Linked DNA regions of Kluyveromyces lactis. The protein of the gene in region 1 interacts with the protein of each later gene in a pairwise test. Links are inferred from orthologs where the notes say so. Each region holds a gene or a part of one and is shown in the gene's direction. Other genes may lie near its edges.

Region 1 (7,518 bases):
CATCTTCCAGTACTGCCTGTCATGTTAGGCACAATTTTGGGAGCATATCGTAAGAGCCCAACAAGCCTATAAAGTCTAAGCATGTTCAAGAAGAAGAGTTTGGAAATTCTGTTCGATTCACCAGTGAGCGATGATATGATCAAATTTTTAACTGATCACGCTTTGAGAGTGATTCCTACACAGAACAGAAACCAAAGATACCCACCTTCACCACCGGGCACTCCATCCAGTAAGAACCACAATGGAGTACCCAGTCTAATGACGTTCATTTCGAGATTAGTACGGTACACGAACGTTTACACATCCACGTTGTTGACCACCGTGGTATACCTAAACAGATTGAGGGAGTTGTTGCCCTCCGATGCAGCTGGTCTGCCTACTACATGCCATAGAATTTTCCTAGCCTGTTTGATTCTCAGTGCCAAATACCACAACGATTCCTCCCCATTGAACAAGCATTGGACCAAGTACACAGATGGGATGTTCACCTTGCGCGATGTGAACCTAATGGAAAGACAACTGTTACAATTGTTTGAATGGGACTTGAGAGTCGAATCTGAAGAGCTATGGGACAACTTGTATGATTTAGCCAACCCAATCAGAAGAGATTTGGAGAGAGGTGCCCAGATCAACAAGACGAGACAAAGAGCCAAGGCTCAAGCTCAACAGAAAGCATCTCAATTCTACTACCATCAACGCAACCTTTCTGCATGTTCCAGCACTGCTACACTGCTAGGGAACAGCAGGAGTGGATCCATTAACAGTTTGGATATACTGAAGGAATACGAATCGTCATCGTCGTCGTCATCATCGACACTGTCATCTCCGACATACACCGAGGAAATGAACTACAAGAAGTATACGATGGATCCTCGGTACTATAACACTGTACGGCCGGTACAGCACACCGACCCTACAATATACACATAACAGTAGCTTTTAAATATAATAGTGCTAGATAACAAGGGGTGTGTGTGCCCTTGGTCACCTAGCATGGCTCATCGCATTAGGCGATGCCCTATAATCAATATGGAAACGGATTTCTTTACATCTACTGTCCCGGGTAACTTTTCCCAAGCAAAAATTTTTCACTTCCTAAATTTGTATAAATAGAGGCAGGTCCTCTGCACTAAGTACATATATTACTTGTTAATGAGCATTTTACAGATATATATGAAGCTGAAAAGAGCAGGCAACAACTACCAACATCGGGCGATGTTGGAGTTAGTGTTGAAGGCACATCAGTAACAAGGTCGCGATAAGTATATTGCGTCTTGAGGTTCCAAAGACGAGAGAAACGCTGTGCACCAGTCTGAACGTGCTAAAATGTACTCTAGCACTCTGAAGCATTAAGTATACCCAAATTTCTGAGGAACGTTTACTGAGAGGCCTGCAAGTTTGTATTTAAGAAAACTGTATTTAAGAAACCGTACTAGGAGCAACGGCCTCGCTAGAGGCCGTTTCTTTGATATGATAGCCAATGTCACGTGATGCCAAAAATCCGTTCCATACAAAATATAAGAAAAAGAGTATCACGTGATGGTACACCATCACGTGACGTAAACAACCCTCAAAGCTGCGTGTTATATAGCGCCAACCGGGAACACCGCTATCCGCGTCGTTATTGCCACTTCCAGTAATTGTCCGAGGGCGAATGTCTTCCACACGAGACAATCCCCGGGTAATGCCGCACACCTTACAATGGGAAATCAACTTCCCATTGTAGTAAGAAAAAAAATTTTTTTTTCTTCCCTTCGCTTGCCCTTTCCCATGGAACGTTGTGGAAAAAACTCGACAACAGGACACCCAGAATGCAAAGGGGGCTATGTCTTAGAGCATGTCTGGGACACAGAACCGCGCCCGCCCCCGTTTTGTCTTTTGAACCGAAATAATTCTAGCTCATCGATACACCCATAGACCCATAAACGCATCAATCAAATGAAAATCAAAAACAACAATTTGGACCGCATATTCACTTAAAATGCAGTAGCAGCGGAGGGCGCGTTCTAAAAGTAGGAAACGTCTACGCTACTTTAGGATTAGCCCTCTGGACCGTGTAATGTAATGTCATACCACTTCCATGTCCGAGTGAATGTCCGTGTCTCGGTGCTGGGATGATCCCTGAGATCCCTTGCCCTCGCTCTAATACCGGACTCCCAGTTTCACACATATAAATAGAGGAAAACAAAGTTTAAGATGCGATGCCTTTTCCCATACCATTGGCGGTTGTTTTTGGGATAATTTTAATTGTTCTGTCTGACATATTTTAAAACAGCAAGAAACAACAACTAAGTAACACATACAGTTAACAATGTCTGACAAGATCGAAGAACAAAGAGAAGCTATCCAAGATAAGGTTGAAGAAGTTCAACAAAATGCTGAGGAAACTGCTCAAGAAGCTCAACAACAAGCTGAAGAGACTCAAGAACAAGCTCAAGCTAAGGCTGAGGAAACTCAAGAACAAGCTCAAGCCAAAGCTGAAGATGTCAAGAAGGAATCTCAATCTTTTTCCAAGAAATGGTTGGGTAAGTTGAAGAAGTTGTTTAACTAAAGTTAAAATAAAAACAAAAAAAGCTTCCGCTTTTTTTATTTTATTTTTAATCAACTATTAAAGTAATTCTAACATTCCAAATTATAATCTTAACCCCATTCTCCTCTATTATTATTCCTACTATCACCAACTTAATATACATCTTTATATATTGTCTAATACTTAATAATTAATATGCTTCTTCTTTTATTCAGTGTTTCGTCATATTGAACAATGTCTGGGCGTGTTTTGTTTTGTGTTTAAACTTTCGTTGTCTTATTACCCGGATTTCATAACAACCTCAGTTTCCACAACTTAGCACATCTTTTCAACTTAAAAGTGTTGATAATTCGCATCTCTGTATATATATGGTATGTAGAATAGGCAATATTCAGCATTGTCTCAGGGAAGGACACATCATCCAGCTTGTGCATCAGGTAGAACACCCGCAATTATCATCTGCCATGTTTCAACAGCAACCCCAGGCTCAAGCGGCTCAAGCTCAGGGGAATGTGTTCTCGGAACAAACCCGCAGGAAATATTTCCCACAATTGAAACCTTACTTCCCAAATAACCAAGGCCAGGGTCAAGGCCAGCCTCAAGGGCAGGCTCAGGGTCAAAATCAAACCCAGGGCCAACAGCAACAACAGCAACCCCAAAATATGCCTCCTGGTTTGCAACAAGGAATGCCCCACCCAGTAGTAGAAAACAACCAACTTCCAGGTCAGATGCCTGGGATGGGCCAAGGGCCAACTGCAGGACCAAGTTCAGTTCCTGGGCCAGGTCCCACACCAGCAGGAATAACACATGCGCTAGATGATCCAAATGTCTACCATTGGATATGCCAGCTCACTTACGGGCCAAGCAAAGAACAAGCGCTTCTAGAACTAGGTAAGAAACGTGAACAGTATGAGGATTTGGCTATCGTGCTGTGGTCCAGTTTCGGTGTGATGACGTCGTTGCTAAAGGAAATAATTTCAATTTATCCGCTTCTTTCACCTCCTGCATTATCAAACCAGTTATCAAACCGCGTATGCAACGCTTTGGTGCTCTTACAATGTGTCGCATCACACCCAGATATCAGGCCTCAATTCTTACAGGCTCACATCCCGTTGTTCCTTTTCCCATTCTTATCTACGACATCAAACCAAAGAACTTTTGAATATTTAAGGCTAACTTCACTAGGTGTCATCGGTGCTCTAGTGAAAAACGATTCTGCAGAAGTGATCAGTTTCCTTCTAAGGACAGATATTATCCCATTATGTTTAAGAATCATGGAAAACTCTTCAGAACTTTCGAAGATCGTCGCTATCTTCATCTTACAGAAAATATTATTAGACGATAACGGACTCCAGTTCGTATGCGCGACCCCAGAACGGTTCTACGCGGTGTCACAAGTTTTGGCAACTATGTTTAAGCACATGTCCCAACAACAGGTGCCGGGAAGATTATTGAAACATGTTGTAAGATGCTACCTAAGATTATCGGATAATTTAGAAGCCAGAAGATTGTTGAAACAAGTTTTGCCGCAACAACTAAGAGATAACACCTTCAATGAAGCACTACAGGACGATGTAGGTACCAAGAGATGTCTTGCACAACTACTCCTGACTCTAGATGAACAGCAGCAGTGATCTTGCCTGCTATATCATATATATCTCCATATCCATATATATATATATATATACATATATATCATAATTAAAAAACAAGTGTTACCCTCACTTTCACACACCCGCTTCACTTTTTTTTTCATTCCAAAGGACTTCTACCGATTTGCAAACTGAAAACATTATGAATATAAATATATACCATACCACACGGCAAAAAGAATTGGATAAAACACGAGGTTAATAGGCTCAAAATTGGCTACTAAAGGTTAGTACGTCATTTGAAGGTATCCTAGCACTGCCAATTGCATGTCTGCACAAACTTATAAGAAGTCTGAGGACCCACACAGTGGGTCCTTGCCAGACAAAATGGCGATCTATCAGGATTGTTTGAATCGGTTCAATGAATCTCCTGTGAATCCTAAACTGTGCCGTACCCTGATCACAAGCTTGTTGGAACTATTGTCGCATGGTGAGACTTTCCCTAGACAAGAAGCTACTGCTTTATTCTTTTCCATTTCGAAATTGTTCCAACACCCTAACGATTCTTTGAGACAAATCGTTTACGTGGCTATTAAGGAATTGTGTGGAATCTCCGATGATATCTTGATGGCTACTTCTTCAATTATGAAAGATGTTCAAAATGGTTCAGATCTAGTGAAGCCTAATGCTATTAGAGCATTGATCCGTGTCTTGGATGAGTCCACTGCATTTTCTGCAGAAAGATTATTGAAAAATTCGTTGGTTAGCAAACATCCATCTATTTGTTCTGCTTCTTTGGTCAGTTCATACCATTTATTACCAATCGCTGAAACTACGGTGAAGAGATTTGCTAATGAGACTCAGGAAGCCGTTGGTGATTTGAAACAGTTGCCATATCCAGATGAGAACAGTAGATATTATCCAACTACGTCTCATATCTCTCAATACCATGCATTGGGTTTGTTGTACCAATTGAAGAATCACGATAAGATGGCTTTGATCAAATTGATCCAACAGTTTGCCGGTCATTCTTCACCATTGAAAAATCAATTGGCTCAAGTACAAATGGTTAAATTCGTGCACCAATTGGTTTTGAAGGATCCTAACTCCATCCCCCAGTTCTTACCACTAATAGCTAATTGGTTGCAAAGCAGACACGAGGCTGTTGCTTTGGAAGCTTGTAAGCTTACTGCGTCTCTATCCAACTTGGTTCCTAACGATTTGTTTGCAGCAGCGGTTTCTGTCTTGCAAGGATTCTTGTCCACTCCTCGTGTGACAACCAGATTTGCTGCAGTGCGTTTGTTGAACAAGATTTCTATGGTTTCACCAGAGAAAATTGTGGTATGTAATCCACAATTGGAATCTCTTGTTAACGATAGCAACAGAAACATTTCCACTTACACAATCACTACCTTGTTGAAGACTGGTACCGACAAGAACATTGGTTCTTTGATTAAGACAATTACCAAGTTCATCCACGAGGTGAATGACGATTTCAAGATCATCATTATTGATGCTATTAGAACTCTTTCTCTAAATTTCCCTGAGGAATGTGATACAATATTACATTTCTTGATGGAATCCTTACAATCTGCCGAAGGCAGTCTTCAATTCAAAAATAGTGTCGTGGAAGCATTAATTGATTTAATTCAATTCGTCCCACAATCTAAGGAAAAAGCTTTAGAAGAATTATGTGATTTCATCGAAGATTGTGAATATAATGAAATATTGGTTAGAATCTTACATCTATTGGGTAAGGAGGGTCCAACCACTAAGAACCCGTCATTATACGTGAGACACATTTACAATAGAGTTATTCTAGAGAATTCTATCATCAGATCTGCTGCTGTGTTGTCTCTTTCCAAATTTGCACTTGTTAAGAATGACCCTGAGTTAGTAGAAAGTATTGAACAGCTATTGACTCAAATCAAGACTGATTCAGATGATGAAGTTAGAGATAGAGCATCCATTGCTTTGCAATTCATCGATTCGGTTAAGTCCAAGAAAGATGTTTCCAATATCGCACAAAATTTCATTCGCCCAACTTCTACCTATGACGTTGTTGCTCTTGAATCAAAACTATCACACTATTTGTCACAAGGCCAAGAGGCATTCAAGACTCCATTTGACGTCTCGTCAGTTGCCAAATACTCCGAAGACGAGAAGAAGGCATTGGATTTGAAACGCAGACAAGAGCAAGCCTTCAACCATACAGAAGAATCTTCCAACAGTGGTGCCGGAAATGGTAACGGTACTGAAAAGGGTGGTAGAAAGGGTGATAGATTGGATGACAATAGCTTCAATGGACCTTCATTGGAATCTGAAGAAGAAGATTTGCTATTGTCCAAATACGTGGATGAAATGTCCTCCTTGGAACAATTCCAGTCCTTTGGCAAGTGTATCCATTCTTCCAAGATTGTCCCATTAACGGAAATTGAAGCTGAATTCGTTGTGAAGGGTATCAAGCATTTGTTTGACGAGCACGTTGTATTACAATTCCATATCACTAACACATTGAAGGACGTTGCGCTTGATAACGTTGAAGTGGTATGCCAACAAGAAGGATTATCAGAGGGTTTACTTGACGAACAAGAGGAATTTGTTTTGCCTATTGAAAGACTCTTACCCAATGAAGGAGAGTCATGTTACGTATCGTTCAAGAAACTAACACAGAACAAGGATGATATCATTGTAGAAAGATTCAGCAACTCGTTGAAATTCCAATCCAAGGAATTAGACCCATCTACCTCTTTGCCATTCGAAGATGACGAAGGGTTCCAAGATGAATACGAATTTGATTCATTGTTCTTGAGTCCCGGTGACTACATGAAACCATCATTCGTAAGCAATTTTGCCACCTCTTTGGAAGAACTACCTTATGAATCCGTCTCTGTCTACAACATTGTCGAAACTAACACACTACAAGAAGTCATCGACAAGTTAGTCATTAGCGCTGGTGGTTTACCTTTGGAAAACTCACAAATAGTATCCCACGATGCCACCCAACATACTCTAAAACTTTCAGGAAAATGTATCTTAGACAACACTAAAGCCCTGCTTTCCATCAAGATGATCAAGACAAGTAAGGGTATTGCAATTAAGGCTCTAGTGAAATCCGACAAGGAATCGTTGGCAGAAGACTTATCAAACAACTTGATATAATATATGTACATTTGAAAACAAAAAAAAAACCTATATATATATATATCTATCTAAGATAGCAACATAAGTATTTCTCAGCCGTAAATATAACGAAGTTCTCAGTCTGATAATCGTATTTCAGCCGCTCGTTGTTCACCCCTTATCCTTTAGACCTTATCTGAGACTTCGAGATGAGAAAGTCACAATTTTAAAGGTTTGTTGGAATTCGAAACATTTTGTTTACATCACGCATGG
Region 2 (6,862 bases), on another chromosome or scaffold:
CACGGGCGTCCTTTTTGCCACCTGTCCCAATTTTCATCTCCCTTTTTGTATTACCCTCTCTAAATTTCTCCTTTGGACCAATCATATCGCAGTATCACCTCTTCATTTTGTGAACAGATTGTTTAGTTTCAGATTGTCCGCCTTTTTTCTGCCTTGTCCTAACCACATTTTCAAAAAAATAATTTCTTCTAATTGCTTCTTGTTCATAATTTCTCCCAGAAATTTTTTTGGGGGCCGTTTTTTTTATCAAAATTTCTATTTTTTAATTAGTATATTACTACCCATCTATTTTCCTCAAGATTTCTCTCCCGTTCAGTTTCCATTTCACTTTTTTTTTTTCCCGATTAGTTTCAAAACCCTCAGGACGGTGTGAAATCAAAGATATTACCCGGACTGATCACGTGAGACAAGTCCTTTTTTATTTTTCTCTCATTCTTAGGAACTCTCTGGCATTGGAATACTGACATTACTTGTGTGAGTATATTATCCTGTTGCAGAAATATACTTAGAAGACACTTTAGCCGCTTGCTTCATTTGCTGCGCTGGTTATAACTTATAGACCCAAGTCAAATCTGTTTTTTCTTTTGGATTTTTCTGATCAATCAACTTTATTGCTTTACTCTTCCAATAGTCTGACTATCTTTCAATTAGTCAAACATTACTAGGAAAAACCTCTTAAGGTAAATTATCTTCGTGAAACAGTTTTCTGCTTTTTTGAGTTTATCCTCGATTTTCCAATAAGTCATTTCTGCTTTCTCGTTAAAACCTTGTATTTGCGGTTAGCTGATTTTTTACTCTTCAAAGTAAACTTTACTTTTTATTTCTTTATCATCCCTTTTATTACCAATTTGACACATTTCGTTTCTATTTTTTACCTTCTCAATTATGGCTCTTACAGGAAAGCGTTCTCATATATTACTATTAAGTGATAGAAACAACAATAAAGATAATACAACCAGGAATAACAATCCAGAAGGATCTGGTGGTACACATAATGCACCATTCATTTTGCAACAAAAACGAGCCAAATTAAATGGTGGTCGTTACAAAGTCACTGCTGAATATTCTAGCCCTGTAGATTCCGAAGATGATTGCAATGATACCGGCTATTCTTCTATCGATTTCGATTCAGTAGTGCATCCTTCAAGGAAGGCTAATCTTCACTTTCCAAACCCCAGAGCATTAGCCGAAATAGTCAATTGCCCGGCATCATGCAGTGATGCATTTACGTTGAATTCCAAACTTGATATCAAGAATGCAGCCAGTACCGTCAATGATACCTCAGACTTTTCTACTGTAAACAGTGATAACACTGGTGTGGAGAAGGAGTCAACTGATCCAAATATGTTTTCCAGTACTGCATCCACTGCAAATTATTTAACAACGTCAATCCCAAGACCTTTGTCGAGACATTCTTCGTGTGTTGTTCCTCAGTCTGATCTGCTGGCAAGAGAACGTTGTTTCGATTACATTGTCCAATCCATTGATGAAGTTTGGGCAAGATATTGCGACACGACGTCTTCAGCTGAGAATCAACTTTACCCATATGGATATGTCTCCCCTGTATCAGATTCTGAAACTTCCGGCAGTGAAAGCGATTCGGGTTATAAATCTAGTACGGACGCCGAAACTGACTGCGAATATCGTAAGGTTTCTAATCTGCCTGATTCAAAAGAACTACAATCACTAAAAGATCGTTTAACTAAGGCTAAGCATTCTTTGGAACAGACCGTGGATTCGGTGCAATTTCAAGATTGTGTTCTATTTTGGAATCGGTGGGACATGATCAAATACAATGCTGTTGAAATGATGGAAGAAGAGGATGATGATGAGTTGGTAGAATCGGTTATAGAGGAGTTAGAAGAAGGAAGATGGTATAACGAATCGTGAACTAAAGCCACTTCTTTCTGCTTAACGCTAACGCATGTTATTTCTGACCGTATGCAAGTTCATCTGTCAATGGGTGAATATAACTTTACCTTTCCAAAATTTTTTCGTGTTTGTCATCAGCTGTATTTTTTTCACTTCATTATGGGAACACTTTTGTTCAATGGGGAACTTTTCTATTCAATTCACTAGAAAAAAAATCATTATATCATATTTTTATTTACAACTTGGTTTTGATTTATCATCTACTTGTCTTATATAAAGATATACTTTTACCTGCATCATTTATTTTTTCGGCTTAATTACAATCGAGTTTCCAAGCGTGTGCCCTTGAGGTTCCTAAACAATATACTGCATCCCACTTGTGAGTGCTAAAAGTTTTAATGTACCATATAGGGACCCTATGTACTTAATCTCGATAGACTCTGCAAGATTTGCTGAAACTGACCGTGGAATTACAGTTTGAAGATCATCATTCCACAAAGCTACAATTCTTCCACCGCTATATTCAAAAATCCTCACTACTAATTGATAAGCCAATTCTTTTGCCGCTTTATTAAAGTCAGAATTTAAACGCTGAAAGACTGCCCAAAAAAGTGAGTTTTCACTAAAAGTATACCACATAGAACTCAATTTCAATGACCTCAGGTGGTTAGGCAAAGGAACTGCGGAAATATTCAAATCAATTAATAGCTCCTGAAGAAGAAGTATGTTTTCCATCTTTGGCACAATGGCGTCGCATTGTTCTAAAAACAAAAGTGTTATAAATCTGCTATCACCTGATATTAAGTATCCAATAAAAGTCAATGTTCTATGATATAATGTCCCATCCAAATCCTGGATTATTTTCCCAACAATCTCAGTGGTATCTGAAAAAACTTGAAATATCACAGCGAATACCTCTTTGAGATCTCTGGTGGTATTATATTCTGTAATTAATCGCAATAGTGCTATCATTTCATGATCGCTAACTTCTCGAAGCATCGAACAGCAAACGTTCACAAATGTCAAAAACATATCATCATCTAATGTATCCCATAAACTTACCAAAAATTGTTCTTGCAAAATTACACCTGCACTGAATGACTTTGGTACTTTCAGGAAAAATTTTGGTAACCATATCTTGTTGAACTCAAACCTACTCGAAACAGTTTTATAAACTATCTCTTGCATAATTGATCTGCTTTCTGGGTCAAAAGGACCCTTGCTTTTTGTTTCGATATCATGCAAATACTGGAACACAGGGTTTTCACCACCGTTCTGCACAACTACTGCTTCCAAAAAAGCTTCTGATTTTAGAATAGTATCATTGATAACTTGGATTTCTCGAAGTACATTCAAATCTATGACTAAGTTTTCAGTGTACCGTCCAACGTTTTCTAAAAGATCATTAGACTTTTTAGATAGATCTTTTTCCCCAGAAGAGATACTATATAACATGCCAATCTCACTATCGACTGCGTGTATCGTGTGCATGCTCTATATTTTTGAAGATAATACGTTCTCGAACAGGAAATATCAAATGCTGTAATTCAAAACACAGGTCAAACCCAAACCAAACATTTTGTGACAGGAAATTCAAATCTGCTGTTATTCCTAGTGTCTGTTGAACCAAAAGGCTTGACATAAACCTGCGACAGCGAAGAAAATAATTTTTTTCTTTTTTTGTTTTGACGCTTCTTTTTGTCACTGATAGTTTCAGATTGAAACTTTCATTCTAACGGAAAACGCGAACATATGTCAAGAATGAAAATCCTTTATAAACGGCGGCAAAATATTCTTATGAGTAACAATTAAAAGACACATTTCTAGTGCTAGTACAAGGCATCATCTGCTAAAACCCAATTTCACACAGTAGTATTTATACTCATATGGAAAGCACTTTTGTTTCAAGTATACACTTATTTCTAGTACTTTTCTCAGGATAAAACTATAACTGGCTGCTGAAATGTCGGCGGTTTTAGAGGAAATATATCAGAAAAAGGGGAATTCGAGTAAGAGCGTAGCGAGAGAACATGTCACACTTAGGCCTGCAAATGAGTTTCACACGAATGATCATTCAAATAACTATATACATACTGGATCGCTTCCCCAAACCCACGTAAGAAACATTGAGAATACTGTTGATGGATATCCGAAGTTGCAGAGGCTATTTAGCCTGAAGGAAAGGCAGGTAATGCAGTTTAATACAAAACCATTTGGTTGCAAGGTAGAGCTTGATGAAATAGTTCCCACATTAAATGATTGGGTACAAAAAGATGGTTTAACTTTCGATGTTGTCATGATTGGTTGCTTGACTGATAATCAATTTATCTATCCCCTTTTAACTCAGTTACCGATACATAAATTGATATCAAAGCCAGGGTTTTTATTTGTATGGGGAAGTGCACAGAAGATCAATGAGCTTTCAAGACTTTTGAACAACGAAATATGGGCAAAAAAGTTTCGCAGAAGTGAGGAGTTGGTTTTCGTCCCTGTCAACAAGAATTCACCATTTTACCCCGGATTAGAAGCAGACGACGAGTCACTTTTTGAAAAGATGCAATGGCATTGTTGGATGTGTATCACAGGAACAGTAAGAAGAGCCACGGATGGCCATCTCATACATTGCAACATTGATACCGATTTAGCAATCGAATCAAAAAATAGTAAAGTTGGGGCAATTCCGAATCAATTGTACAAGGTAGCAGAGAATTTTAGCACCGCTACAAGGAGACTTCATATCGTTCCCGCCAGAACAGGAAGTGAAACACCAATCCGGATGAGACCTGGTTGGGTTATCATGGGTCCAGATGTACTGCTAGACAACTTCAACGCTATGGAATATAAAAATGAGGTTGGAAGAGTTGGATCGAACCTGCCAAAAGATCCCTCCATAGAGTCATTAAGACCAAAATCTCCAATATCTATTAAAAATTGATGGTATATATAAGCTTGTAATTTCTAATTTGCATTCAGAAGGGCTAAGGTCTTGATTTGAACGAGGCATACGATATGTGTCATGTGTTTTATGTCTAGTCACTGTGGTCATTATCAATACAATCTCCATTCCCAAAATCGGCCGGTTATTTTGAATGAATAAAAACATCAGTTAAAGGCATTTTATTCATTTGAACCATTGTTCAACACCTTCCTTGATTGGAGTCAATAAACCTTTTTGTTTTGGTACATAGTTAATTCTATGGTAAGCGTTCAAATTCTTTCTCAAGACAATTTGGAAACAGGTGGCAGAGCCCTGTCTGGAAATAATAGTGGAGTATGCTAGGAAAAATTCCCAGATTCTGTACCATCTCATCCCATACTTGTTGACAACATCGTCCTTATGGCCAATCCAGTTTCTGTACCATCTCCATAAAGTTGCGGAGTAATCAACACCGATATTATCAATCGAAACGACCTCAAATCCAGTAGCTTCTAATTTTGAAACGACAAAATCTAACGGTGTAGAAGCGTCAGCACCAGGGAAAATATACTTGTTCATGAAAAGACCCCAGATCAAATCTTCGTATTGCCATGGCTTTCTCAATCCGGCGTATTGTAAGTAGAATAAACCATCATCTTCCAACATGTCGTACACTTGTTGCAAGAAAGAACCGAATTTCCTGATACCAACGTGTTCAGCCATTTCCAAACATGTAATTTTATCATATTTCTTACCGTCCTCAGTGGCCAATGGAGTATCTCTGTAATCCTTACATAGAATCCGCGATTGTTCGTTGTCGATCCCTTGCAAATCGAGTTTATCGTTACCCCATTTGGTTTGATTTCTACCTAAAGTGATACCTGTAACCTTTGCGCCATAAATTTTGGATGCATAGGTCGCCAAGGTCCCCCAGCCGCATCCCAAATCCAATAAATATTCACCTGGCTTTAAGTCGATCTTGTCACAGACAGTTTTCAATTTGTTGTCTTGTAACTGCTCCAAGCTTTCTTCCTTTTCAATATCTGAGATCAAACCACTGGTATAAACCATTCTTGGACCAAGGAACCAAGAGTAAAAGTCATCACCACGGTCATAATGATCTCTGACTTGTTCTTCATCTTGAGATCTGGTGTGCATAATAACTTCTGGAATCATACCAAGCAAGAAGAACTTGAAAAGTGATAGAGTAAAAGAGAATTGAGCCCAGTCATGTCTGTACTCCATCACTTCCAAAGCATCAAAGTTGAAAGAGACCTTATTAGCGAAAAACAGTTCGTGGAAAGTCTCCATAGGAATTTTCTTACCGTGGTATTTTTCCTTCAAAGCATCATCATGGAAGGTCAAATAGTACTCAATTGGTTTTCCTGGTAATTTGCATTTCTCATTCAAACGAGGAGAGTAAGTGGATGCAATTGTCCAAAAGGCCATTAAAATTGGGATAGCAAACAGTACGGCAAAGAACAAGAAGGTTTTGAGACCTCCCCCAACTTTCCTTGTTACATAGTAAGGAATACCACCGAGCAAGGAGAATAATAACCAATTGGAAAAGTGTCTGGAAGAAGGTCCCTCTGCAGGCAATGGAGCGTTCTTAATAGCTGGTGATGCTGTCGTTTTCACGCCATATTTGGAATTCACTGGTTCAGGAGTTTCCGCCGGAGGAGTCTCCTTAAACTGAATCGTTTCAAATGAATACTTACTCATCTTCCCGTGTATTCAACGCAGTGGATACTAGATTGATATCTTGCGCAATTGAATTAAACAATACTTTATGTACAAGTATCTCATACAACCATAAATTAATCAAGTAAGTAAGTACTTGAAAGGATTTTTGATTTTTGCAGTTTTATTTTGGAATGCTTTTCTTCTTCCTTTTTTCTCTGTCTGTAACGTGTATCGTTCTACTGGCTGGAATGTACAATACGCAGATATTCTGGCCAAATATAGTGATACTGAACCCGGATGAATTAGGCTATATATACACCTACGTATAAGCGGGAACCATTATGTTGTGTGATAATTGGATATAAGATTGCAGTTACTGCCAATGGACCG
Region 3 (7,725 bases), on another chromosome or scaffold:
AAAGTATTTGGTTTTACTGAACCACGTCTCTTTGCAATTTCGTAAGCAGAGTAGATACGTTTGGTGTCCTTCCAACGAGGTTCGGACCACCATTTCTCAATTTCGTCAATTTGACTTTGTAAGAATTCCTTCTTTTCAGCAGCAGAAGCCTTAACGGAGACCATTATGTTGGGTTTGTATGTTTTGTCGTTAAAACTTTCCTATGATAATATCAATTAAATTCGTATATGTTTTGCAAAGTAGTTGTGACTATTACAATACAATACAATATCGTTTGATGATTTCTTCAGATCAATAGAAAGAATTACAAACAAATACAAGGTAGAATATAAATACTTCTGAAACATACCATCAGTTATTCAAGACTCTCAAACCTCATCCTATATTTATACAAAAATTCTAAAACCTTAAGGTATAATTGAACTAACCTAATTCAATTTCAAAATATCATGGTTAAATGGATGTCACAGAATATATCACACACGTAATGGAAGTACCTAATACTAAGGTCCTTTTTTGCTTAACTCAACCAATCATGGCTCTAATTCCCACCAAAATTTTCACACTGACGACAAATTATTCCCTTTAATCAAGGGAAAGGTATGAGTCGATTTCTCTAACTGTCTGTCCGTCTGTGTGATATGCACCATTTTTCTGGTTTCGTCTGATCATTTCTGATTACAAACGGTACCATGTATGTGCAAATGAATCGTGTTTTGTTCGTCCATTGATCCCTGAATTGCGATACTCGGTTGTGGTATTTGTCACTTAGAGTTCCAATTACGTTGAAACAGTTGACCAGTTTCAAGCCGTCCAGATCCCAGTATGCCTAACCTGCTATTTGGCTGAGGAACCAAATAGAGTCAACTGAGTCAACTTTCCCCATTCATGCGAAAATGTCCGTGAATTCTTTAGAAATGGATGTAGGGAGGGGAAGAAAAACTGGAAAAACTATCACATTCGGTTTAATGGCGGATGATTCAATTCTCCCATCGTAAAAGAGGGACAACAAACAGGGTCAAAAGGATCAGGAAAAAAAATGTTTCAACCGTGTGAGCGTTCTGTGTCTTGTGTCATTCGTCCTTAGTCCGAAAGTGAAACCTTACTTTAAGTAATGGGGCAGATAATCACATAGCTATGTCGCTGTTAATCATACCCGATTATCTAGATGCAGATTAGGTGAGCTTACGGTATCAGCTCCATGGAAGGAGCCGATATATATAAATAAATATTACCCGGCTAAACGCTTATTGTCTAGTTAAAAAAAGTTATTTCCAAAAAATAACGACACCAGCAGGATTTGAACCAGCGCGGGCAGAGCCCAACAGATTTCAAGTCTGTCGCCTTAACCACTCGGCCATAGTGCCAAAATTTTGCAAATATTTCGATACTTGATTCTTATATTCTTAAAAACCTTTCATATGAGGATAAATCAGACATATCTCTTACTCTACCGAGTCGAATATGGTTTCCCGAAAACCTCTTCCATACAAGCAGTCTGACAAAACTTGCCTAATAGGCTGGAGCTCCAGATATTCAAAGAGGAACTCTCATGTTTCCATATTGCCTTAGAATAGCATGCCACTTTGAATGTTTTTTTAACACCACTCACAAATAGAGCACTACAAAAGAAGAAGTCAGGATGCCGATGTCAGCAAAAAAAGCAATTATAATTATGCGGAACGCTCCCTCAATTTTTAAGTGGTGGAAAAACTTGTTAGATAATCCGTGCGCGCAAACCATGATACGCCGCACATTTGCCTATTTGATGCAGCTTTAACCCCAGTCTTGTGATTTTCTATTCTTTACTTCGAATAACGCTACTTATTCAATGAGCAATCACTACATCACAGTATATTCATCATTTGTTGCATTCTCTTTGGCGAAGCTTGGTACCGTACACCCCAGAGTTTATTTGTGGGTACTAAATGGGTTGGTATAGAGACAAAGAGGAAGAAAAGTGGGTAGCAAAAAATTCGGTGGTGTGTTATGTGCAACCTAGCCTCATGGTGGTGTGCTATCTCTAGCTGGTTGTGTTTATTTGTACCTCTGCGGAATTAGGGTTGGATCTATGTGGAATTAGGGTTAGGGGTGTTGGAGTAAAAACACATAAGACAACAAAGGTAAAAGTGGCATATAAATAGAGGGTAAAATCCTAACTCCAAGTTTGCTAATCCTCTTTGCCGTATACCCTAAGTTTATGTGTTTTTCCTTTTTCTTGAGTGCTACCATCGGTACACAAGCATCAATTTGCAATAGTTAATACATATATTAACTTTTAACACACAGACACACTCTACATCAGAGAAGAATATTCACAGAAATGACCAAGAAGGATAAAGGACCAAAGTTTGCTAATGTCACCACCAAGTCCGGAGAAGTCGTCAAGGTGTTTGAAGATTTGAACGATTTCGAAACATTCATTAAGAACGAAACTGAAGATGAGGAATTTGATCACGTTCATTGTCATTTGAAGTACTATCCTCCATTTGTACTACACGAATCGCATGAGGATCCTGAAAAGATTAAGGATTCAGCCAATTCACATTCAAAGAAGTTTGTGAGGCATTTGCATCAGCATATCGAAAAACATTTGCTAAAGGACATCAAAGAGAGAATCAAGCTGCCTGATTTGAAGTTTAAAGACAAGGCAAAGGAAGAATCGTTTGAACACATTGTATGGAAGTATAATGATGTAACCCAGTATCACGGTAAAGATTTCGAAATCCATATTACCGTGGAGTGCCACAACGATTCGGCTATTGTAGATGTCGATTATTTGACAAAACCACTAACAGCTGCCGTCGAAGCTTAGAGACCATTGTTTTATTTTGAGTCACATGACCTCAAATTTCTCACTAAAGCATCGCGCCTTTTGAGAGATACAACGAAACAGGACCCCCAAAACGCCGTAAAAGTAACGTAGGCCTGATTTGAGCATTCCTATATATACGTAATTAGCGTGTTTAATGACTGAATGAATTTTATGATTATCTAAACATGGCTTTCTATTCCTCATACATTATGCCTTGTCAACCAACCCCTTTTATTTTATGATACAAACCCATCAGAACATTTCTTCTCACGTGACCTCATATTACGTCTTCTGAAGATACGTATCCGTTTAAAGGAAGAATTTCCAGGAAATTTTTTTTTTTTATTTCAGTTTCGATCGTTCTTTAGTTAGTTCATGGAAACTTTGTTTAAAAAATTGAAAAACTTCTTTTAAGAGTTTTATAAAAAAAATATATATGTATTTCAAATAGTGTATTTACCAAAGTTTCGAGTTGTAAACGTATGTTAAAAAAAGCATACAGGACCAAAAATAAATTCTAGAAATAATTAAGTGCTTGAGCGGAACTATTTATTGTCAATTTATCTGTCCTAGAATATACGAAGAATCATTATCGGCTGGCGAAAGAATACATCTTGGCAATTTTACACTATAAGGATAACACATTATCTGACAGCTCTGATAACAAGAAAGCACTATTTCGATACGATATACACGATACTAGACACAATACACATACGGATAAGATGAATGCCACGGCTACGGAAAATCCGCATGTTCATCAGAATCAGCATGAGATTCAGAAAGCTTTATCAAATTACGATACGTCCTTCTTATCGGATGACGAAGAGGACTTGTGTCCACTTTGTATAGAACCACTCGATGTTATGGATAAGCATTTCAAGCCTTGTCCTTGTGGATATCAGATTTGTCAGTTTTGTTATAACAATATTCGTCAAAATCCTGAGCTTAATGGTCGATGTCCGGCTTGTCGTCGAAAGTACGACGATGAAAGCGTCGAGTACATCGTTCTTTCTCCAGAAGAGTTGAAAATGGAACGTTCCAAGCAGGCCAGAAAAGAACGTGATCGTAAGCAAAGGGAGCGTGAACGTAGAGAAAATGACACTCATAATAGGAAACAGCTTGCTGGTATGAGGGTCATTCAGAAGAATTTGGTTTACGTTATTGGGTTGAATCCACCTTACCCTTACGAAGAACTTCCATCCATCTTGAGATCGGACAAGTATTTTGGCCAGTATGGAAAAATTAACAAGATCGTCATCAATAAGAAGACTGGACACGAGCACCATTCTGTTTCAAATTCATCGAGTCATATAAATTCAGGTTACGGTATTTACGTTACTTTTTCCAGAAAAGACGATGCAGCAAAATGTATTCAAGCCATAGATGGTATCTATATTGATGGACATCAAGTGAAAGCAGCATATGGTACAACAAAGTACTGCTCCTCGTATTTGAGGGGACAACCATGTCCAAATCCGAACTGTATGTTTTTACATGAACCAGGGGAAGAAGCGGATGCTTTCAACAATGCCAGGAAGGAACATGCCCATCACTCACATGCACCACCTACACTTGCTAAACCGTCTACAAGTGCAAGCTCTACGCCAAAGCTTGCTCATGCTTCATTGAGAACAGATGACTCTACTGTGCCAGCAGCTGCAACTTCAAGCTCGAAGCAAACCGCTCCTGTGCTAACACCAGCTCCAGTTCCATCTGGTTCAAACCCATGGGGTATATCTCAAGCACCCACACCAGTTTCTACTATTTTCAACAAGACTTCTACTTCTACCACTTTCCCTACGTTGTCAAGCTCCTTGGGGGAAACTCTGAACAGTCCAGGTCCAGGCACTCCTACGACCACTGGATCTGCCCCAACAGCAAACTCTTCTTCTAACGTAAGTTCGAAGAAGAAGGGCGAAAAGACATACGAGGATCCTTACGATCCAATGGCAACATGTGTTAAGTTCCTAGATCAAACTTTTAAGTTTTTATCAGATATTCCTGAAAGAAGCTACACATTCAACTCCAACTTATTGGATGACGAAACATATCAAAGTTACCCATCACTTTTTTCATTTGAGAAGATTGGATGTAGTGAGCAATCTGAAGGTGTCTTGGGTGCCAAACTATGTGATTTGCTTACTATAAAACCTGTGGACCACATGTCCTCTCTTCTGCCATTCATTCAAAACAAGGCTACACCTACCATGTTACCACCGGGAATTGCTGTCCAGCAACCACAATTAGTACAACAGCAGAAGCAGCAGCTACAGCAACAGCAATTACAGCAACAGCAACAACAGCTTTCACTGCAAATGCAACTACAAGCCCAACAAGGCATGGCGCAGCAAGGCATGGCGCAGCAAGTTATGAGCCAGCCACAAAGCAATTCTTCCGATCTACTAAATCAATTAATTCACGGTAAGAAACAGACTGCTGCCGTATAATCAGTACTCAGTATGATTCCAATAATATTTCTTTTACGAAGTTAGCATATAAATAAATATATATATTCATGTACATTCATTTATTTTTCAATATAAACCGTTCCAGGTTGTTAGATAAACAACTGTTTCAATTTCATTTTTCCAAATCAGACCTTGTAATCTACTGTCTTTCTGGGTTCTTCTTTCTGTCAAAGGCATTCACATTAAAATACATATTTTGACACACTCTTTTTAAGGTTTTTCCATCAATTATGTGAAAATTGTAACATTTAACATCTAAATAGTAAAGATGCGCCAAAAATATGGAATATAATTACATACACTTTACCTCAGCGCATACACCTTAACCTCGATACTGCGGTAAGCGCATCAATAAAGATAATATTGGCACATATCCATTCCAATTAATAGATGAAACCACAAACGAGGAAATACAACAGGCATAATGGCTTTCACACTTTGACCAAACTTCCGTCTTCAGTATCAAAGTTATTTACACAAGGTCCACCATTACCACCATCGAGAGTGAGAGTAAGGCGAAACCAGAACAAGAAATATGCACTCACTGGTGTATCAGCCGTGTTGCAACATGTTTCAGAGTATAAGAAGGCAACCCATCCCGTATCAGAGAACCAACACTTGAAAGTATATGATGAAGCCATGAACGAATCGCACAAAGAACAGGAGGAGTTGATGAAGAAAATACAAGAGTGGCACCCTGAATCAGATGCAAACATTTCTAGTGACCCCTACCGCACATTATTTGTCGGACGGTTACACTATGCCGTAGACGAAGTTGAACTACAGAAGAGTTTCGTCAAATACGGCGACATTGAATCGTGCAGAATAGTAAGAGACCAAGACGGTAAGAGCCGAGGATACGGTTTTGTGCAGTTTACCAGTTATGAAGACTCCAAACAGTGTTTCAGAGAGCTTGGTGTAAGGAAGGGAATAGAAATCATGGGCCGAACATCCATCGTTGATATAGAAAGAGGCAGAACGGTGAAATTCTTCAAACCTCGACGTCTAGGTGGAGGATTAGGAGGACGAGGTTACCAAAGGAAAGATCTCGTAAATAAATTAACTGGTGCTTCAACAAGACCGATGCATGAACATGCTAGAAGACCCATCAGAAGACACGATACCTTCGAAAGAAGAGGTCCTCCACAAGGGCATTCCCATTCTTATCAACCAACTAGTCCAATATCCTCACCTGCATCAAATTTCCAAAAAACTGCAAGTTCTAGCTACCGATCAAGGAGGGACAGATCTCGCAATGATACTTCCAATGGTTCTACAGACACATTGATGTATTGAGATGAGATAAAAAGACACATCAAATAGCACGTGATCAGAACTGCTGCAGTGATCTATATACATTTTCATATATATTCATATAAGTAGCCATACAGATGAGCCATGGCTAAATGTTATATGTACTTCCTACCATTTCTACCTCTGTTCTCATATCTACGCAGTTCTCCTACATTGTGCCCACTGGCCAAGCATAACTGAACCACTACCTCTGTATGCATGAGTAATTTCTTGATCGATGACTGATTCCAAAATAACGATGGAAAAAATTATTCCAGTCAAACAAAAAAAAAAAAAAAAATGGCAACTCAGCGAATCGCACATATAAAGAAAACCGTTTTCAGTTTCCCATTCGCTAAGTATTTCCATTAGGTATCTAAAGTATGAGTTAACTCGTAAAGTACTGAACAGCATTATTGTCTAATCGAAGTTAAGACCAGCTCTATCCATCTGCAGGACAAATTAAAGGGTTTGCAGGAAAGTGTTGATACCTGCCTTTTCAGTGATAGTGAGCCAAGCCAACTGTTTTATCTTCTTTAAAGGATTTTGATTAGATAAAGAAGAAGAAGAAGAAGAAGAAGAAGAAGAAGAAGAAGAAGAAGAAGAAAACATGTCTGTCCCATCTGCGAGATTGTTGATGTCAACGAAGGGTTTGAATCCATCTCGTTTGAGCAAAGTTGCTTCGATTTTGGCTAGATGTTCTCCTTCAATCCCAAAGAGAGTTGGTTATTCGAAAAGATTTGTTTCTAGTGCTAACGGTGTTGGATCTACTGGGACTAGATCTACGGTTATTCAATTATTGAACAATATTGGATCGAAAAGAGAAGTAGAACAATATTTGAAGTACTTCACTTCGGTTTCGCAACAGCAATTTGCTGTTATTAAAGTCGGTGGTGCTATTATCAGTGATAACTTGCAGGAATTGGCATCGTGCCTTGCATTTTTGTATCACGTTGGGTTGTACCCAATCGTCTTGCATGGTACTGGTCCTCAAGTGAACGGTAGATTGGAAGCCCAAGGTATCGAACCTGATTATATTGATGGTATTAGAATTACCGATGATCATACCATGGCTGTTGTTAGACAGTGTTTCTTGGAACAGAATTTGAAATTAGTTACTGCTTTGGAACAACTTGGTGTTCGTGC
Region 4 (8,499 bases), on another chromosome or scaffold:
GAAGTTGGGGGCAATGGACTTCTTTCCATGGTAGCAGGATCCTTTCCGGATCTGTATGGACCAAATGTCAATATTAAACAATCAGAATCCTATTCCAATTCGGCATATATCAGGGAAGTTAGGGCAGCAAATAGAGGTAGTAAGCACGTCGTCATCACCAATTTCTTCATTGATACATGCTCTAATATCTTAGATTATTTGGAAACAATTACTCATGTTTTGAAAGTTGATGGTTACTGGATTAATTTTGGACCCTTCATGTATCATTTTGAACAAGATCATCAAACTGAGATGACTGCCGATTTTGATGCATATACGGGGGAATTATCGAACATATTAGATACCCCCTTAAGGGGAATAGAATTGAGTCATGAAGATATTCTTGAAGTGGCAACTACTCACTTTCCGTTCAAATTATTGAAACAACAAACCAATATTTCGTCCAGTTACGGCACTAATAAGCTAGATATATCAATGTTAGGTTACCAATGTTCATTTTGGGTTCTACAGAAAACATAAACATTTATTGATTTTATACAATCTGGAGTACTCAATCATTTTTGATCTTCATTTCTTTAATTAATTCAGTTAATTGATTTATAGTTGTGGTGAGCGTCTCTATCTTTTCTTCGGCTTTCTGCTGTTGATCGTTCAATTCTTTGAAGATTTTATAAGACTCCCAACCTATACCAGTCTCATAACCTTCGCTTACTGGCTGTACGACAGTCTTCACTTCGCTAAACCAACCCTTGTCAACCGGGAACCTAGGATCAACTTCTTCTGCCTCTCTTTGAGCGAGGAGTGCCCTTTCATTTTTCTTTTGCGTCATCCTGTAGCTGTTCTCGAAATCAGAGTCCAAAATGTTAGCTTCCTCTTCTAAGAATCCGTCAGTTAGATCCCAAGCTACATCATTTTCATTAGCATCATCTGGTAATTTATTGAGTCTATTGTACACTATCCTTCTGGCTTGAATGGTTTCAAATATAGAAATATAGCACAACAAGGGTGAGTATATCAGCGTCATCACAAAGCTGGATAGATACTTACCTTGTGTTTTTGGTAGCATCCAGATTATAGGAGTAATACAAATCTCTATCAAATTCAAAGGTGGAACATAGACATCTTCGTCTGGAGCTCTGATGTATCTTAAGGTCTTTTGAGCCATCAATGCTAAATATTCATCTGTGACATTATCAATTACTTTTTGATATGCACTCGAGTACAACGCAATCAATATATTCAAGAGAATTATAGTGACAATGAAACAGTAACTGTAATATAGGATAGCTGCATAAGGAGGGGCAAACCTTTCGAACATATCAAACCCACCATCGCCCAAAATAGTAGTGAAGAGGTTTGATAATATTGGCCATGTAATCTCGCGCCTTCCATCTGCCGAATCTAGTCCTAGGAACCCCTGTAAAAATCCAATCATTATCAAAATTAATAAAGAGAAGAAGTAAATGGACTCCCGCATCATATGTGCCAATACCACCAATAACGCACCAACAAATCTTTCAGATTCCAAATATAGTAACAAACGAGACCATACCAATGGCGCTGCACATGCTAAAATTCTATACGAAACAATATCCCAGTGCTCTGATGGTAAATCAGCCTTCCATGGGCACACACTAATGATACGAATAACGATAGAACATATGATAATTGAAAACATAAAATCATGATATACGTTCCAAAAACCAATGTACGCCCATCCAACATGATAACACTTGACTAATTCGTCGAGTGCATGACCCAGTGTGAACACATAAAACAGGGATTCCCAAAATCCTATCGGTTGAACATTTACAGAGTCTTTTTGATTTACGACAACCGTGAAAAGTACCAAATATAATAGCGAGAAGATGATCTGCAATAAATTTTGGTAGATGGGAGCACGTAATCTCTCAGGCGTGAAATGCTTGGAAACTTCACAGGATGGCACAACGGGGGAAAGGATGTACGTTTCAGGATTGAGTTTATTCTGCACGATCCAACCTCTCCACAACCATTTCAAACAACGTTGGTATCCAGAAGAACCGATAACAATAGTACAATGCATATCCATGGCTAATTCAAGTGCGGAAATTGGGGAAGAATCGCAGTCATTTTCATTAATGACGTACCGACGTAGTAGTAATTGCATAAATGTGTAGTGATGATCCTCGAATTCAGTTTCCTCAATGATCAATTTCGAAAGCTGCTGGGCAGTTACAGCCCTCATATTATAGAGTTCTGAGTTGTGTAGCTCCGATTCAGCCAGTCCCCAATACCATCCACATACTTTTAACAAGGCGAATACAATGACAGATTCGTATTTCCTAACAGAGGCGCGGTCCTTTCTGTCCCCACCGCAAGCTGCTCTGGCCAATTTAATTACTTTCGCATTGAGGATTCTTGAGTGTTCACACGTTACAATATTCTCCTCGTATGTAATGGGAATCACTTCATCTATAAGATACTTTAAATTGGTTGCTATGCGTAGAATTTGTCTTGAATTAGGGGAAGTATAATTTGATGTATTTGCAGGATCAATCCAGTACTGTTGGGAAGTACTTGGAAGCACAGAAGACTGCATCGCTGCTGACCGGGAGTAATTTATCACTGGCAGATACGCAGGTGGAGTGTGCGACTCTCACTAAACAGAACGGGATGGTTAAATAAATGTACAGCAGAAATATTCTTGGGAAATATCACAGGGACAATAGCTTTTCAAGTTTTGTTTGAGTAGAAAAAGAAAGAAATCATAAACGGCTGTAGATAGTCTTGATGTATCTCGTGCACGTGACCAACAAATTTATCTTAAAAACATGAAATTGCTTAAAAGGATGCACTAGGAAGAGTTAATATGTGGCTTGTTAAACCTATAGTTAGTCAGTATTGTTAATCTCTTGTATATTTGGTCAACCAGGGGTATTTTGTTTTAGCTGGAATCTTGAGGAAGGAGGCGTGCAATTAAAGATAGCGAATCAGAGGACCTTTTATGCGGAGCCAATCTTACTTTAAGCAGTGACATAGAGATATCTCAGGATCATTCGAATCATTTATTAAATATAGAAACGACATAACGGCAATTTAAAGAGTGATCATTTCATCAAACCATAAATGTCACATCAAAGCAGCACTGTATTAACCAAGTTCTCTCGCATTGATCCTGTCATTATCGATTATCGGTAAGCAGGCCTAGAACTCCTTTTCATCCAGCTCTTCATCTTCCGAACTTTAGCCGCCGAAGTTCAAAATATAATTCGAAAACTCCTTCCTTCCAAATCTCTCTTTTTATATAGCACTAAGTAAATATATACGTGTAATTGAGTAACCCTAAGTGAGCGAAGAAAGTACTCATCTCAGACCAGCACGTGATTATTTACCCGCACATTTGCTATTACGTATTACCCGGTTCCGTTATCTCCGTACTTTGTATCTTCCATTTTTTTCATTGTTCACTATGGCTTGCTTGATACGGCACTGAGTGAAATTTTGGAAATCTGGTTTCTTCTCATAGTAAGGAGTTTGAAATTTGAAAAAGCCTTTGAATTCTATCTCATCTGGTTTTTAATAGTGATTCTTTCTTTGTATATAGAAAATTTGGAAATTTAAAATATTGGAATAATGCAAATAAAATGGATATAAAACAAAAATTTGTATAGTGTGTAGTTAAGGAAAGTAAAGTAAAAAGAGGAGTGTAGTTGATATTGAAAGCCGAAACCGGACCAAAGTGCTGCAACTAGTGAAAGAATCTCTAGATCAAAGTTTGGAAAGTATTTACAAGCATCCTTTTACAGTCTTTTTTACTAAAGGTAGTTAAAGAATTAGTGGAAGGATTTAAAGTATCACAGAGAGACTCACAAATGGTGGCACATAAGAAGAGTAAGAAGAAGAGTAAGAAGCAGCATGGTTCTGCGGGTGAAAAGGAATTGCATGAATCGAAGATTCACGCAGAAATCATCGATGATGAAGCAGAGTACCCTACCTCTCGTGTGATCAAAAGAGCCCCAAACGGAGATGTCATAGTGGAATCACTTCCGGAAGAGGAATCATTAGACAGATCAGAACTAAACCAGGATCATCGTTCTGGTAGCAGCAGTAGCAGCACTAATAGTGGCGGTGTTACAAATACTGCAGACTGCAATGCCGATGCTGATAATGAAGAAGTCGAGGATACTAAATGGCCAATCAAGTTAGATACCCATTGGGAATCTTTGTCATTGGAAGAGAGAAGGAATATTCTACGGATAAGCAAAGACGAATTGTTTGATATGATCAAATCGTATAAGAATATGCATAATTGTGATTGTAGCATGTGTGGCCGTCATAACAACCTGAATATAGAGCAAGAAATTGAACAGATATATTGCGAACTTTACGATAGTGCAAGGGAAGAAGATTCAGATACAGATTTTGTACAGTTCCACTTAAAGCTAATAAAAGAATATCAGAATGGTAGTAATAATACACATCACCATATGCGTCACCATGGGGACAAACAGGATTCCAATATTTGTCATGAGAACTTTGCCCATAACGATAACGACGATAATAATGATTCAACGAATAAAAATGCCTTTTTATCTAGCATACTTCCGAAAGAGAAAAATGCTAGCACTTCAGAAAATGAATGTACAAATGATTTCCTCGATTCATTAAGCGAAGATTCAGCCATAAAGTATTGTCTTTCAGAAGGAGCGATAGGGCTGGATAAATCATATCAAGTTGACTTCCTTGGTAAAGAAGAAGTTGATTCAAATATGGACACCATTCCGAACAGTGATAATAAAACGCAGACTGCTTTGGATTGGAAACACGAAATCGAACAATTTAAAAGTAGCAAACAGAAGCAGGTATCTGAGTCTACAACAGGTAAAGAAGCTCTCCCTCCTATCAATGACATAGATAATACTAATGAGGTTATCCCCGAACATGATGAGTTTGACTCTAAGCTTCTCCATTTTGCCAAAACTGTAGTATCTTCTCATCCGCATATTGCCGAGGAATTCATCAACAGAGCTATGATGTATCCCCACATTAAAGCTATAACTGAGGATATGATGAATAATGAAGGTGAAGGTTTGAAAAGAGCTATGGAAAGTCTTGTTCTACAACAGGAACTTCAAGATTGGAGGGAAAACATGGCCGTTTCAATTGAGAAGAAGATCTATGAAATGGACCCCACTGAACCTGTTATAGATGTATCAGAATCCGACAGTCACGAAAATGAAAGGGTGAATGGACCAGCAAATGCTTTAGAAGAAAATAACAAAAAAGACGTTATTGAATCAGACTCTCTGGATAGACCTTCGTTGGTTGATAACAATAAAGTGGATTCTCTGATAGACAGTATTCCGTTTAAATTTGTTAAAGATCCTAAAGCGGTTGCATCGCTGAAAAATGCATTCTATGATATCTTCACTAATAAGACGAGACGCTCTGAAATTGACCAAGACGATAAAGAATATAAAGAAGAACTAGAACGTTTACGTAATGAAATTTCAGCGGACGAAGACCAAGCATCTTATGAGTGGTCCAACGATGAGTATGAAGAAAGCAACGATCATGATGAAGATGCAGAGGGCTATGTTGATGACGAATGTATCGATGATCATCACCTCGATTCTGGCTACGATGATGAAAATGAGGATGAAGATATCATATATGATGACCTACATGAAAACGTGAAACTGAATGAGGACCCTTCTGCTGTGCCAAATGGACACACTCAACTGATTCATCACGACAATTCTGTCACCTCAAATGTATCTGAAGATGGTATAGATGATAATTATGATAGTGAGCTTGATCATGCCGAGCGTTTAGAAGAAGGTAGAAGGCTTATACAGATCGCAATAACTAAATTACTCCAAAAAAAGCTTATCGCTTCCTATCAAGAGAAAGAGGCTGAAAAGAACAGAGAACGATTATTGATGGAACTCGAAGCTGAAGAAAATCAGAAGAAGGAGAAGGAGAAGAAGAAACTAAAGAAGAAGGAGAAGGAGAAGGAGAAAAAACGTCAACAACAACTGGCAAAGGAAGAAGAAAAGAAGAGGCAAGAAGAAGAAGAAATCAGGTTAAAGAAAGAAGCTGAGGAAAAGGAGATTGCTCGAAGAGAAGCTCAGAGGAAAAAAGTTGAAGAAGCTAAACGCAAGAATGATGAGAAACGTAAGAAAAAGTTAGCGGAGCAAAGACGTCGGGAAGAAGAACAAGAGCGCATTCGTAAAGAAAAGGAGGAACAAAAGAGACAGCGCGAAGAAGAACAAAAACAAAAGAAAATGGAAAAGGAAAGAAAACAGCGTGAATTTGAAGAACAACGCCTTTTGAAGAAGAAGGAAGCAGAACAGCTTCAAAAACTAAAGGAAAATCAAAAATTGAATGAGAAGTCAATGCAAAAAAATCAAGACACAACAACCGAAGGTGTTCCTTACGGATCCGTTTCAACCAATCCTCTACAGAATAATTCAACGTTGAATGATGACATTTTCAACATGATCAATGAAGTTTCTAAATCATTGTCGTCTTCACCTTCGCGGAATCAAAACGACTTGCTTGGTTCATCTGTGTTATCGAATGTAGATCACCAAGGTGGATTGAACGCAGGCAATGTGTTCATTCCACCTTCTCTTTCCATGTCAGAAATGTCCCCTCATGCTCAGGCTGGATTTAATACGTTAGGTTCAAGCTTGCAACCGAATTTGTTGAACGGATGGGATCAACAATCGTCCACGCAAGCTTATTATCATGCCAACCAGCCCTCTTCTTCAGAAGCTCCGGGATTACTTCCATTGTCGCATGGCGGATCGTCTTCGAAGTTTTCTTCCTTTGCAGACACAACTGTTGATGTTACCGATGACGTTAATAATTTGACCAGTTTCTTGAAAGATACTACAATTAACGATATCTCACTCGGTTCAACTAGTAGTATTCCGGCACAAAATCTGGATCCTGTTAACATGGCACCACGTCCGCAATCTGCTGTTTACAACCAACCAAATCTTTGGAACAATGATCCAAATCAAAGGCTCTCAAACTTTGGTCAACAGCACGTTCAACAGAACCCAATCTCCTCGTCACACTCTCAACCAAGAAGATCTATTTGGGATACTGGAGCTGAAAATACCTTTGGTGTTGCCTCTGCTAACAATTTTGCTTCGAATATCTGGGATACACCTACATCTACTCCAGCACTTCCGAACACCCTGCTATCTTCCCAAGTTGCAGCAACATCTGTTGACTCATATGAGGAAGTCCTAGCCAAGACCTATAAGATGCTTTCTCCAGACAATAGTTTCGTTCCCTTGGACAAGCTATATCAAACATCATTGACTCAAATTAATGCCAAATCAGTACTGTCGTATCCCCAATTCATTTCCACTTTGGTTTCCATGAAGAATTCATACAATACTGAACTTTTGAATGATAACACGGGTTTATTGGCGTACTGCAGAATGGGTTCTGTTCCAGTACCATCAGGATTGCCTTCTTATAATAGACAAAATACTTTCCCTCATGCAACCACTCAAGTTCAGTCAGATTCGCAGCAAATAAACTCAGTTTCAACTCCTATATCGAACCCGCTACCTCAACCATCATCGGTATTTAACGATGTTCATTACAACCAAACAGCTACTACTTCACCAGCGAATCACGGGAATCCAATTCCAGGCCCAACGTCAACAATCGCATCAGATCCTTCGAACTTCGTGAACTTTGGTCAATCGTATCCAAACTCATATCAAACCGGCAATATCTGGAGCTGAATCATCCGATCCAACTAAATTATTTAAACGAGTGGATAGAAAAGAGAACATATCCGTTAAAATTTATTCCTTCTTCGTTTTACGTAGAACTGTAACGTCCAATATAAATGTAACAACACTATTATCTTTTTTTTTTCAATCAGACACCATCAATTGATAGATCATCATTGAATATTTGAACTCATTCAAAAACAGGGCTATAATTAATTTTAATAACTAAGCATAGTCCTATCTATTACACTGTCTCATTGATCACTTCTTCCTTTCTTTTTCGGGCTTCTACTGCTCGGCGGAACATGACAGACATTAATATGATATCATTTCGAAAAATAAAAGGCTCTTTGAAAAAGGCTAGAAAAAATGAAACTTGAAAGATAGAAAAATAGAAGGTTTGCTGTTTTAAAGAAATAAGAAACTGATTTCGAAGAATAAACATAGCGTACGCTCGAAGGAAACAAGGTCGAATCTTCCTTTATTTGCATGTATACGTGCCACCCTAATTTTCTATTTGCAATTGGGTACTTGAAAGTTTGAAGCAGTTCTCTGTTCTGGCACGATCTTACACTACGCTGTTTTCCAAACTTTGTCGGTTTTTGAATTTTAGCTATCAACATAATCAAGAAAGACGCAGTATCACTGCAAAACTTATGCAATATCATAAAATATGTCTACCAATCCAGTTAAAAGGAAACTAGTTATTATTGGTGACGGAGCATGTGGGAAAACATCTTTGTTATATGTTTTC

Evidence for each region.
Region 2: the proteins of CAF40 (region 1) and KAR4 interact in a protein complementation assay, tested with the Saccharomyces cerevisiae proteins (2 studies listed by BioGRID). The link is inferred for Kluyveromyces lactis from reciprocal best matches to the Saccharomyces cerevisiae genes CAF40 and KAR4.
Region 3: the proteins of CAF40 (region 1) and MOT2 interact in binary tests that used the Saccharomyces cerevisiae proteins (3 or more experiments, as listed by UniProt). The link is inferred for Kluyveromyces lactis from reciprocal best matches to the Saccharomyces cerevisiae genes CAF40 and MOT2.
Region 4: the proteins of CAF40 (region 1) and NST1 interact in binary tests that used the Saccharomyces cerevisiae proteins (3 or more experiments, as listed by UniProt). The link is inferred for Kluyveromyces lactis from reciprocal best matches to the Saccharomyces cerevisiae genes CAF40 and NST1.

Annotation. Positions count from the first base shown.
Region 1 is NC_006041.1:1,170,058-1,177,575, forward strand, and holds CAF40 (CCR4-NOT core subunit CAF40), read left to right. Parts: upstream 1-2,898; coding exon 2,899-4,164; downstream 4,165-7,518. Other genes in the region: PCL1 (Pcl1p), read left to right, coding at 82-930; SEC21 (coatomer subunit gamma), read left to right, coding at 4,450-7,284. UniProt on the Saccharomyces cerevisiae protein: Acts as a component of the CCR4-NOT core complex, which in the nucleus seems to be a general transcription factor, and in the cytoplasm the major mRNA deadenylase involved in mRNA turnover.
Region 2 is NC_006039.1:45,677-52,538, forward strand, and holds KAR4 (Kar4p), read left to right. Parts: upstream 1-3,835; coding exon 3,836-4,807; downstream 4,808-6,862. Other genes in the region: KLLA0_C00616g (uncharacterized protein), read left to right, coding at 1-63; KLLA0_C00649g (uncharacterized protein), read left to right, coding at 886-1,890; KLLA0_C00671g (uncharacterized protein), read right to left, coding at 2,227-3,363; KLLA0_C00715g (uncharacterized protein), read right to left, coding at 4,994-6,511. UniProt on the Saccharomyces cerevisiae protein: Component of the MIS complex, a complex that mediates N6-methyladenosine (m6A) methylation of meiotic mRNAs and is required for initiation of meiosis, progression through the meiotic divisions and sporulation.
Region 3 is NC_006039.1:703,056-710,780, reverse strand, and holds MOT2 (CCR4-NOT core ubiquitin-protein ligase subunit MOT2), read left to right. Parts: upstream 1-3,540; coding exon 3,541-5,265; downstream 5,266-7,725. Other genes in the region: ICL1 (isocitrate lyase 1), read right to left, coding at 1-164; KLLA0_C08063g (uncharacterized protein), read left to right, coding at 2,324-2,815; U1 snRNP complex subunit SNP1, read left to right, coding at 5,677-6,582; ARG56 (bifunctional acetylglutamate kinase/N-acetyl-gamma-glutamyl-phosphate reductase), read left to right, coding at 7,190-7,725. UniProt on the Saccharomyces cerevisiae protein: E3 ubiquitin-protein ligase component of the CCR4-NOT core complex, which in the nucleus seems to be a general transcription factor, and in the cytoplasm the major mRNA deadenylase involved in mRNA turnover.
Region 4 is NC_006039.1:1,174,994-1,183,492, forward strand, and holds NST1 (Nst1p), read left to right. Parts: upstream 1-3,854; coding exon 3,855-7,754; downstream 7,755-8,499. Other genes in the region: KLLA0_C13750g (S-adenosylmethionine-dependent methyltransferase), read left to right, coding at 1-519; YVC1 (Yvc1p), read right to left, coding at 551-2,581; Rho family GTPase RHO2, read left to right, coding at 8,419-8,499. UniProt on the Saccharomyces cerevisiae protein: With MSL1, acts as a negative regulator of salt tolerance.